Linked DNA regions of Caenorhabditis elegans. The protein of the gene in region 2 interacts with the protein of the main gene of each other region in a pairwise test. Each region holds a gene or a part of one and is shown on either strand. Other genes may lie near its edges.

Region 1 (3,643 bases), about 10 Mb from region 2:
ATTCCACACTTGATTCATCAAAATTGAAACATTAAAATAAAAAAAAAAGCAAACTTTTTTGCTAAGCAGCTCCATAATAGGCTTTCCATCCGGGCGAGGTGTGTCGGGGGCGCCCTTCGCCCGCCTCTTTCCCGCGCCCCCCTCACGCCCGCCCTGACACCCGGTATGCAATTTGTCGTCGCGGTGTTTGCAGAAATGAAACAAATTGGACGCGCATTTAGAAAACTTTGCCATCACGTTATAATATTAAATTGTAATTTTGGCAATTATTTTTATTCAATAGTGGATTAATAGTGCAATGTTTAATTTTGAAAATGAATAATGTATGAATTTCTGAGCCCTTTTATCATAACGGTAAAGCAAGATTAGTGTTAAAAGTTTATTAAAAGAAAATTGATTTACAAATTATTGCGACTAGAAACAGAAAATTAGGTGAGAAATAATTTACAGAATTAAACAAAATGAGCTAAAGTCAATATGGACAGAGAAGTCAAAACAATCACAGGAAAATTTGAAAAAAATAGGAAACAAGGGTTAGTAATGAAGAAGTGACAATTAATTGCTAGAATAATATGGATAGTGGATAGGATTTCCATTTTCATCGAAATATGAATTTTCAGCAGAAAATGATGACTGGAAAGAGGAATCAGAATAAATAGAGTTATTCATGGAATAGTTGAGATGTGGAAACTGTTGGCTGGATTGAAAATATGGATAATAATAGGGATAGGAACCATATGGATATTGATTTGGAAATTGAGAGACTGGGTAATCTGGAGCATTCTGATGAATATTTTCCTTTTGATTGATCGCAAATTGTGGTACACTTGAAAGATACTGAACATTTTTTGCAACCCTATTTTGTTTAGTTTTCGGATCGAATTGATTGTGGATTTCATCAAATAGAGCTGTGAATTGCTGAACATAAATTGGTGGAGTATTGACTGTTGGATACGCATGTGGATATTGATTTTGATAGGAAGTTGATGGGAACTGGTGAATAGAGGAACTGATCTCATTTTGAAGCCTTCCAGAATTCGTGGACTCATTATAATTTTCTGATTGTGAGGCAACTTGAAGGATATCCGAAACAGCAATTTCTGTTTCATTTTTTGATCGTTTTGATGTTCGCTCTTCACTCGAATCAGTATTCTTTCTCTTGTTTCCCCCATCCAATCTATTTCCATATGTTGAGTTCTTGTGAAATTTAGATTTCCAATTTCCGATCGATTCTTGATTGTATACTGTGACTGGGAAAAATTGGGCTACTTCCATTCTCATAGAATGATTTGCAGATTCAACATTCGTGATATTTTTGACAGTGAGGACTGGAACATACTTGTGCATTGTTTCCACGAAAAACTGAAATAAAAATTAATTATAATATTATTTAGTGAATTAAAAATTCAAACTAACCACATTATCCTTGTCCATGAATTTTTTGTGATTCGTAATCCTGACTGTATCAAATTTAATAGTTTCCTTCATCAATTCCTTTCCAAGTTTTGTTCCATCTGGATGTAAGAAATATTTGATTTCTTGTTCTTTTTTCGTTGCATGACGGACTTTTGAAGGTCCCCATTTTCCATTTCGGTATCCATATCTGAAATTAAGATTTGTCTTTAATGGTGACTTTGAAAATCATTAAAAAATACCTGATATTGTCATATTTTTCAATTGAAAGAAGTACAACATATCTCGATTTCTCTTCCAATCCAGTAATATTGAAGTTGAGTTCGGGAAAAATTAGTTTCGGCCCTTTATTATTCACAATCATTTCCATATTTGGATACCATTGTTTCCATCGGTCTTCTTCAGCCATTGTAACATTGAATTGAGCTTGTGAAAACATTATTGAATCTGAATATTGAAAAAAAATCAACATATATTAATAGGAAGTATGAAAGAAAAAAAACGGTATACTAAACAAAATATTATAATGAATGATCCTCTCTATCCCTTTAATGTTTTAGACCCCACTTAGTGGGCGGAGCCTGAGCACTGGGTTGAGTCAACCAATTATCGATTGATTGTATTCACTTGCTCTCTTAGAATTGCTCAACAAAAACTGTTTGAAACTGGAAATCGTACTTTATATAGTGATGTCCTTTTAATCACTATATTGAAACAGTAACTTTTTGAGTGCTGCCGCATTTGATAAAAACGCCCGAGTTACTAATTTAAAATAAAAATACTAAAACCCGATCCAAAGCAAATTATTTAAGGATATCCACATTTAGACTTTTATTTTGTAGTGTCAATTTTCTGCGTGCTTCTCTATTCCAGATTACCTTTTCACATATTAATATTTCATGTCAAAGTTGTCTATTCCAAAACATTACGTTACAGTTCCACTGGTGACCTATATTCTTCCCAATTGTCATTCACATAATGACAATAGGTGCAAGGTATCCCCCACCTTAACATCCACCACTTTACAACTCTACTTCCTTCTCCTTGACATATCATTCCTTTTCGATCGATTTCCGGACACACACCTGACAATCCAAATGGTTGTAAACTTTATGTACTGGGAAAATATATTTAGTCTTTTGATAGATAATAAGCAGAAAAGTGAGAAAGTGTATACTTTTACAAAATTGAAAATATAGAAAATGATAGGTTTACATTTCATTGCAAACGTTATTTTAATAACAAAATTTCAGACAGAAAAGGATTTATTTGAAAAGTTTCTATTTTGGATGAAAATTCTACTCCGCTCTGCAAAACACTATGTCAGTATTAGTAAATATGTATTAGACATCACATTCTTAAAGAGAGAATTAATAAGCTGTAATTAAAAAAAAAATAAAAATTGCTGTTTCAACATTGTGATACATTTGCTGCATTAATGAGAGTAAGACAATTTGTTTGGTGGCCTTATTGATGTTAGTGAAATATGCCACATTTATTCTCGAAAATATGAATTAATTAATTAAAATCCCAACAGAAGTTACTTTTTTCTTGAATATTTTTCTATCGGTAAGAATATAGCTTCGGTTTACAATTTACTGAGATATATATGTACATAACTAAACTATTGAGCTGACAAATTCAAAAATATCCAAAAACAATCAAGGAATACAGGTTGAACGGATCATTGAGCATATTATGCATGTTGACATTAAAATTAAAATTGTAATACAAAAGTATTTACGGAGTGTTTTAAATTACTATAGTGAAACACGCAATATGTAGATAAACAATTTTGATAAAGTTAAAGACAGAATTTTTTTGAGTAGCCATTCTATTTAATTCCATGTGCATATAATTGTATTTTTTTCCGAAAAATTAACTAATGCTGAAATTAAAATTATGTTTCAATGTCCTGATAACTTTGTCACCATGTTTTGCAATTATTATGTTTTTCTCCCAACAATATTTTCTGATTGGAACTGGAATCAAAAAATCATTTTTAAAATTCATATTAATATCAACAACAAGTTATGCGTTTAGATTTACCAACGTTTAGAAACAGTAAAAATTATCAGAACTTTACAAAAATTCTTTTCGAGCAACTTCTTTATTCTAATCAAGTACTACTTCATTCATCACAATGGAATATTAATTGATAACAATTCCAGATTTAAGTCTCCATTTTCCTTCTTCTCCTTCACGCAATAGATAGAAATCAGCAATATTG
Region 2 (6,061 bases):
TATTGCAGCGTCCCAATGTTTTCGAAAGGGGCCCAAGACCCTCCCGTGTGTATGTGTCCCCCGGTTTTGATGCTATTGCTCTGCCTGGATGACTCGGTCTCTTACACTCTCACATTGGAAGGCTCTTACTTTTTTTGTTCGGTTTATTTTTTCCCTATCTTTTCATTCATTCCATTTGTGGAGCTGCTTGAGTATGACATATTTATTAGTGGTGGCCTAGAATATGATAAAACTCTGCCATTTATTCCATTCTCTGGCCAGGACCTTTGGGCTGCAAAATTCTAAAAATTGAAAAAATTTGGAAAATAAACTTGAAGATATTTCAAAAACGAAATTTTTTGAAGTTTTGGCATAACTATTGTGGTGCTCCATCTTTTAATTTACTTGATTACCAGTTGAAACAGTAAAATTTTTAATTGAAAATTTTTGATTACGGAGCATCAAATGAGTTGCAATCTACAGCTTCTAAATATTTTATTTAAAACAATATTTTTTTGTCTTCATATCCCCAATTCAATACTATCTGTATAATGTTTCATATTCCCCACCTCCCAAAAAAGTAAAAGTTGAGTCTGATCCTCTCTTCTCTATCTCCCTACGCCCTTGGTGCCCAGTACGCCCGACACCTTTTTCTCTGCGACCTCCTGATTTCTAATTGTTCCTTCGTGATCGGACTGTTTGCCTGTTGGCGCGCGCGCCCCAGAAGAAGAAGAGGACACACCTCCACCCACCAGAACTACACCACTTGGCGTTTTGCCAATTCAAGGCCTTTTCTCTGTGATCTCTCGGATCCTAATGTTATTTTCAATTTATTCTGTTTACGAAGAGTTGTTGGGTGAGTCATTGGAAGTGAAGGTTTATGGTCAAATACTAGGTAATCAGATTGTTGGAATATTACTAGATGTGTTAGGTATTACTGTAGACTTTTGCCATTTGTGGGCAATATTAGGTATCGTTGACTGTATGTAGTCTTTGTAGTTTGTGAAATTTTGGTAGGAGTACGGTAGGGTTACTGTAGTTTAAGAATCATCATTCAGCTCTTGAAGTCGGGGACCGAAGGTTCAGTATACCACTGGTTAATTATATATATATTTTTTGCATATACAAAAATCACTGAAGACGTCTAATTCCTTTAATAAATTTGTTGAAACAGTAAATTTTCGCGTAGAACACTAATTCATTTTGGAACTTTTTCATTCCCGATTCTCTGGACAGTACTTTACTTTTTCATCGTATATCAATTTAAAATTATTTTTCTATAGTCTACCAATTTTCTACATCAGATTTTTAGAAATAACAGAATTTTGATTGAATTAATAAATTTGTTGAAACAGTAAGTTTTGCGTAGAACTAGAATTTTTTCGAATTTTTATTTGACACAACTAGAACCGTAGCATATTTGAATCTCGAAATATAGTATTTGAATATTAAAAATTTGAAACATAAGTAGATCATTAAATTTGAAGAAAAATGTTTTTTGCCTGACGACTTCCAAAATAGTGGAAAGAATGACAACTTTGAAACAAAATAAAAAATTTCAAAAATCATTTGAAAAGTTTTACTCCACCTTTACCATCATTTCAACCTTGTGCTTCAGCCCAATATGATCTTTAGTTCATGAACTCTTGAGCATGAACTCTTCTCATTTTTCCCGTCCAATTTCTACGTCAGCCCATCATTTTTTTTGTCTTCTGTGTTTCTTCTTGTTTCTCCTCTCAATCTCTTCACCCTACCCTCTATCACTTTCCGTTTTTTTTCCTTCGATTCGTTCTGCACCGGTCTCTACCAGGCACACGCACCTGGCCATTCACTCTCTCTCTCTTTCTTGATTTCTCATCATCTTCCATCAATTTTTTGTGTCTCAATTCAAAAAAATTCAAATCATGACCCTACTAATTTGTTTAATTCTTCCAGAAACCAATAACTGTCAATGAAAGCAGTGCCAAAGTAAACGGAGAGAAACAAAAAAAAACGCGCTAATAAAATTTTCAACGGTAAGACTTTTTTCCTGTTCACACTTTCTTATCACCATCCACTATAAAACACAACAATACTGTCAATGAAATGAAGTAAAATGAACATTTTTGATGTTTGATTTGCATTCTTTTTGTTTCGAACAAATTCCGAAATTTCTATTAAAGTCACAATTTTCAGGAATATGCCAGCGAGCTCAACATCGTCACCGTCTTCAAAAGAAGAAGACGAAAAGCACACTTCCGCAGATGAAGACGTCACTCCGACTGCTTCTCCGTCGTTAGTGAAGTCTGAAGTTGTCAAGGAGGAGGAAAATGATGACGCCGATAGAACGTTGACTATGCCATCCACTAGTCAGGACATTCAGGTTTGCATTTTTTGATTTTTTTTCAAAAGTCTTAGCGAAAAATACAATTTTCTAATTAAAAACTGAAAATTTCAAATTTCCCTCCAATTTTTTAAAAGCTTTGAAAGCGTTGACATCGGAGAAATGCAAACCTCAAAAAATGGGGTGGAGTCGAGAAGTTGAAGACGATCATAAATAGCTCTTGAGAAAGAAAAAGTATTTCAACTTCTATTTTCAATTAAAAAAAAATTAACTGATCATCTAAAAAATTTCAAACCTGAGTAATTTCCGTTTCTATCGGTAGCTATCTCATGAATCGAAATCCACAGAACCGCTATTTTTTAGTGAGCAAACGCGCTCTACTGTTAACTGTTCGTGTTCGAAGTTAAATTTTTGATAATTTTTTTAATTTTAACCTATTAAAATTACTGAATTCAACGTGATTTTCATCATTTTTTAAATCAGGAAATTTATTAATCTCCTAACCAGCACAAATTTCAGCCTGAGTCATCTCCTGCACACGGTCGATCAGCTCCGTCAAGCCAAGAAATCACGTCTCCACCAACTGTAAGACGAGTAGCTACGCCGCTCGAGGCGGCGGAGCAAGAGTATTATTATTTCACGTATGTTTCCTGTTAAAAAATCAATTTTTAAATGACATAATCTTGATTATTTCAGAACTGATATGATAAACCAAGCTGCGTTGGACATTGAGCGAGAAAAGGAAAAGTTCGACTCGCTAATTACCTGGTATAAACTTCAACGTGACGATGTGCCGGCACTCGGAACAAGCTCCGTAGGAAATTCAACAGCTCCATCCTACGTCAGTGAGAAAGGCTCAACAACGCCAATGTCTTCTCAGCCATCATCACATCAAAGTGGAACAAGCAGTACGAATGGGGCGCACGGTGGTCTCAACGGTTTTTCATGCAGTCCAGTAAGTTTTTTGAAAAATAAAATCAAAAATTATTGAAATAAAAATTGATTTTTCAGTTTGGTCTCGAGAATAACCCTCGATCAAATGATCCGATGCAGTGCATGAGTTCACCAGTCGAATTGGATGAAATCTGTCCAACACTGGAAGATTTTATGTCATCAGCGGCGTCTTCATCAACTCCATCGACATCATCTGCACCACAAATGAACCAGAACCAGAATACCCATCCAAATTCGATAAATCATCATCATCAGCCGGACACCAGTTTATTAATGTTAAATAATCATCATTCGAGTCCTTTAAATCAGCTGAGTTTCAACCATCAAATGCCATCAACATCGAACTCGAACCCACCTTCAAATGCATCTCTAAAACGAAGAGCAACTGAAGAATTCGGGAATGATGGTCCAATGAAGCAAGCGAAAATTGAAGGATCAGAGAACGACAATAATCCAATGAGAAAGCTGGAGATGATGGCGAATTCTTCGAATTTTAGAGGTGGAAACACTATCAATGAAGTCGTAGAAGCTAGCAAAAAGTGAGTTTATAATTTTAAAATTATCTAAACTTTATTCTAATTTTCAGAGACGAACGTACGCTAAAAATGGAAAAACTAGACGTCATCGGAAAGTCAGTCGGAGAAGAGTTTGCTCAACAAGCCCGCGAAGCTCAAATGAGGCAAATGCAACAAGCAGCCGCTGCCGCAGGATCAATGCCACCATCCTACCCATCACCTGGACAGTATCCAGGACCAATGCATTATCCGGGAATGCCACCAATGATGCCACCCGGAGCACCATTTTCTGCAGGAGCCTCGTATCCACCAATGGGCGGACCATTCCCACCGAATCCATATGGAATGCATCCCGGAATGACTCCAGGAGGATATCCTATGTCTGCACCAGGAAAAATGCCGTTCGGATCCCCATCATTCCCTCAAAGTGCTCCATCACCAGCAGCGATGGCTGCAATGCAACAAGGTAGAATGCCAGGACCACCAATGCCACCCCATATGATGACACCTCAGCAACAACAACATTTCATGCAAATGCAGCAAGCTCAAATGGCTCATTTCAATGCTCAAAAAGCTGCCGCTGCTGCAGCAGCCGCCGGAATGTCTCCTGCAGCTCGGGCGTCACCAATGGGTGCCTCACCGTCTCCCCATCATCCTCATCCTTCCCAATTCCCACCGAATCATCCGGCCAATCCAATGTATCACCACCACATAATGATGATGAGAGCAATGCATGCACAAGGTGGGCAGCCAGGACATCCAGGAATGATGCCACCAGGGATGATGCCGCCCGGAATGATGCCGCCCGGAATGATGCCACCTGGCATGCATCCAGGTATGGCCGGTATGCCACCAATGCATCCAGGAATGCAGGGAATGCCGCCGATGCATCCGGGAATGCAAGGAATGCCCGGGATGCCACACGGACCTCCGCAACCTCCGCAAAGTGAGTTTTCTTTTTCTTTGTTTTAAATTTCTCAGAAAAATTTCAATTTCCTATGACTTTATCTGGTCTACTTTTCGGAACATTGCAAAATATTTCATTAATTTTTCAATAATGCCAAAAGTTTGTGCTTCTAAAATTGAATTTTTCCAGATCCCGCTCTCATGGTTGCCGGAAATCGAGCTGGCTCCGCAGAAGCTGCAGCTGCTCAAATGGGCAATCCACATCATCCGATGATGGGCGCCAATATGTGGCAATTGACACCACACTATCCACCACCTCTTCCAGCTTCTTCCAGTTCTGGAGCAGGAACGCCCGTTTCCCGATGATGATTGTATTTAGTAGTCTAGTATATTTCTTGTTGAATGTTGTTTTAACTATTTTACCCAATCAACCTGTAAAATGAATAAGCTCATCCGGATAGTTTCCCCTTGTCCCCAAATTGCTTTAGTCCCCCTATCCCACAGCCGTTCTAGATCTGCCTAAGCTACCGCAAAATTCTCAATAGATTGAGAAGATGCAATTTTAGGTTTGAACTCAGCTCTACCTTCCCATCACCCACCAAAATCCTCACCATTTGTATTTTACCGGTATCAACAAGTTTCTCCATTCTCTTCCATTCGCACAGATACACAAAATGATTCTTCTCTATACTGAGCTTTTCCTTCTTTGAACTTTTTCTCATCAAAATTGCCCTGTATTTTATGTTTCATTTTCCATCCATACTTTTTCAAGTGACATGGTTTCTCTTTTTTTTAATTTCATTGTTTTATAAAATTACATCTAAATTTACTATTAATTATAATTAAACGCTATAGGGGGAATCGACCGGTTTATAGTCACAATTTAAGACGAGCGGGCCTTCAGATGAAAAGCTCCTTTGAAGAATTTGAAAACAAACAGAGATCACTGGGCAAATTATTAGTTGGAGTATTCCTTGTTGAGAGCACGTCCAATGATCAGACGACGGACCTCGCTAGTTCCGGCTCCGATCTCGTAAAGCTTGGCGTCGCGGAGAAGTCGTCCAGCTGGATAGTCATTGATGTATCCGTTTCCGCCGAGAATTTGAATCGCGTCGAGACACACTTGAGTACATTTTTCGGCGACATAGAGAATCACACCGGCACAATCCTTATTCGACACATTTCCCTTATCGGCTGCCTTGGCGACCATGTAAAGATAAGAACGGGAAGCGTTGAGGGTGGTGTACATGTCGGCGAGCTTTCCTTGGAGGAGCTGAAAAATGTTGGAATTGAAATAATCTCATTGTAATTTTTTAAAATCTCACCTGGAATGATCCGATCTTCTGTCCGAATGCAGTTCTCTGGTGAGCATAATCGAAAGCAA

Evidence for each region. Proteins that work in one complex are often made in the same cells at the same time.
Region 1: the proteins of pygo-1 (region 2) and tbx-39 interact in a two-hybrid assay, tested with the Caenorhabditis elegans proteins (one large-scale study listed by BioGRID).

What each region holds. Positions count from the first base shown.
Region 1 is NC_003282.8:15,322,102-15,325,744, reverse strand, and holds tbx-39 (Putative T-box protein 39), read right to left. Parts: upstream 1,853-3,643; coding exon 1,656-1,852; intron 1,604-1,655; coding exon 1,417-1,603; intron 1,363-1,416; coding exon 556-1,362; downstream 1-555. Other genes in the region: Y73F8A.15 (DUF38 domain-containing protein), read right to left, coding at 3,565-3,643.
Region 2 is NC_003282.8:5,081,389-5,087,449, forward strand, and holds pygo-1 (SH3 domain-containing protein), read left to right. Parts: upstream 1-1,914; 5' UTR 1,915-1,994; intron 1,995-2,154; 5' UTR 2,155-2,158; coding exon 2,159-2,341; intron 2,342-2,821; coding exon 2,822-2,943; intron 2,944-2,998; coding exon 2,999-3,257; intron 3,258-3,313; coding exon 3,314-3,795; intron 3,796-3,842; coding exon 3,843-4,717; intron 4,718-4,867; coding exon 4,868-5,043; 3' UTR 5,044-5,499; downstream 5,500-6,061. Other genes in the region: ivd-1 (Isovaleryl-CoA dehydrogenase, mitochondrial), read right to left, coding at 5,636-5,950, 6,003-6,061.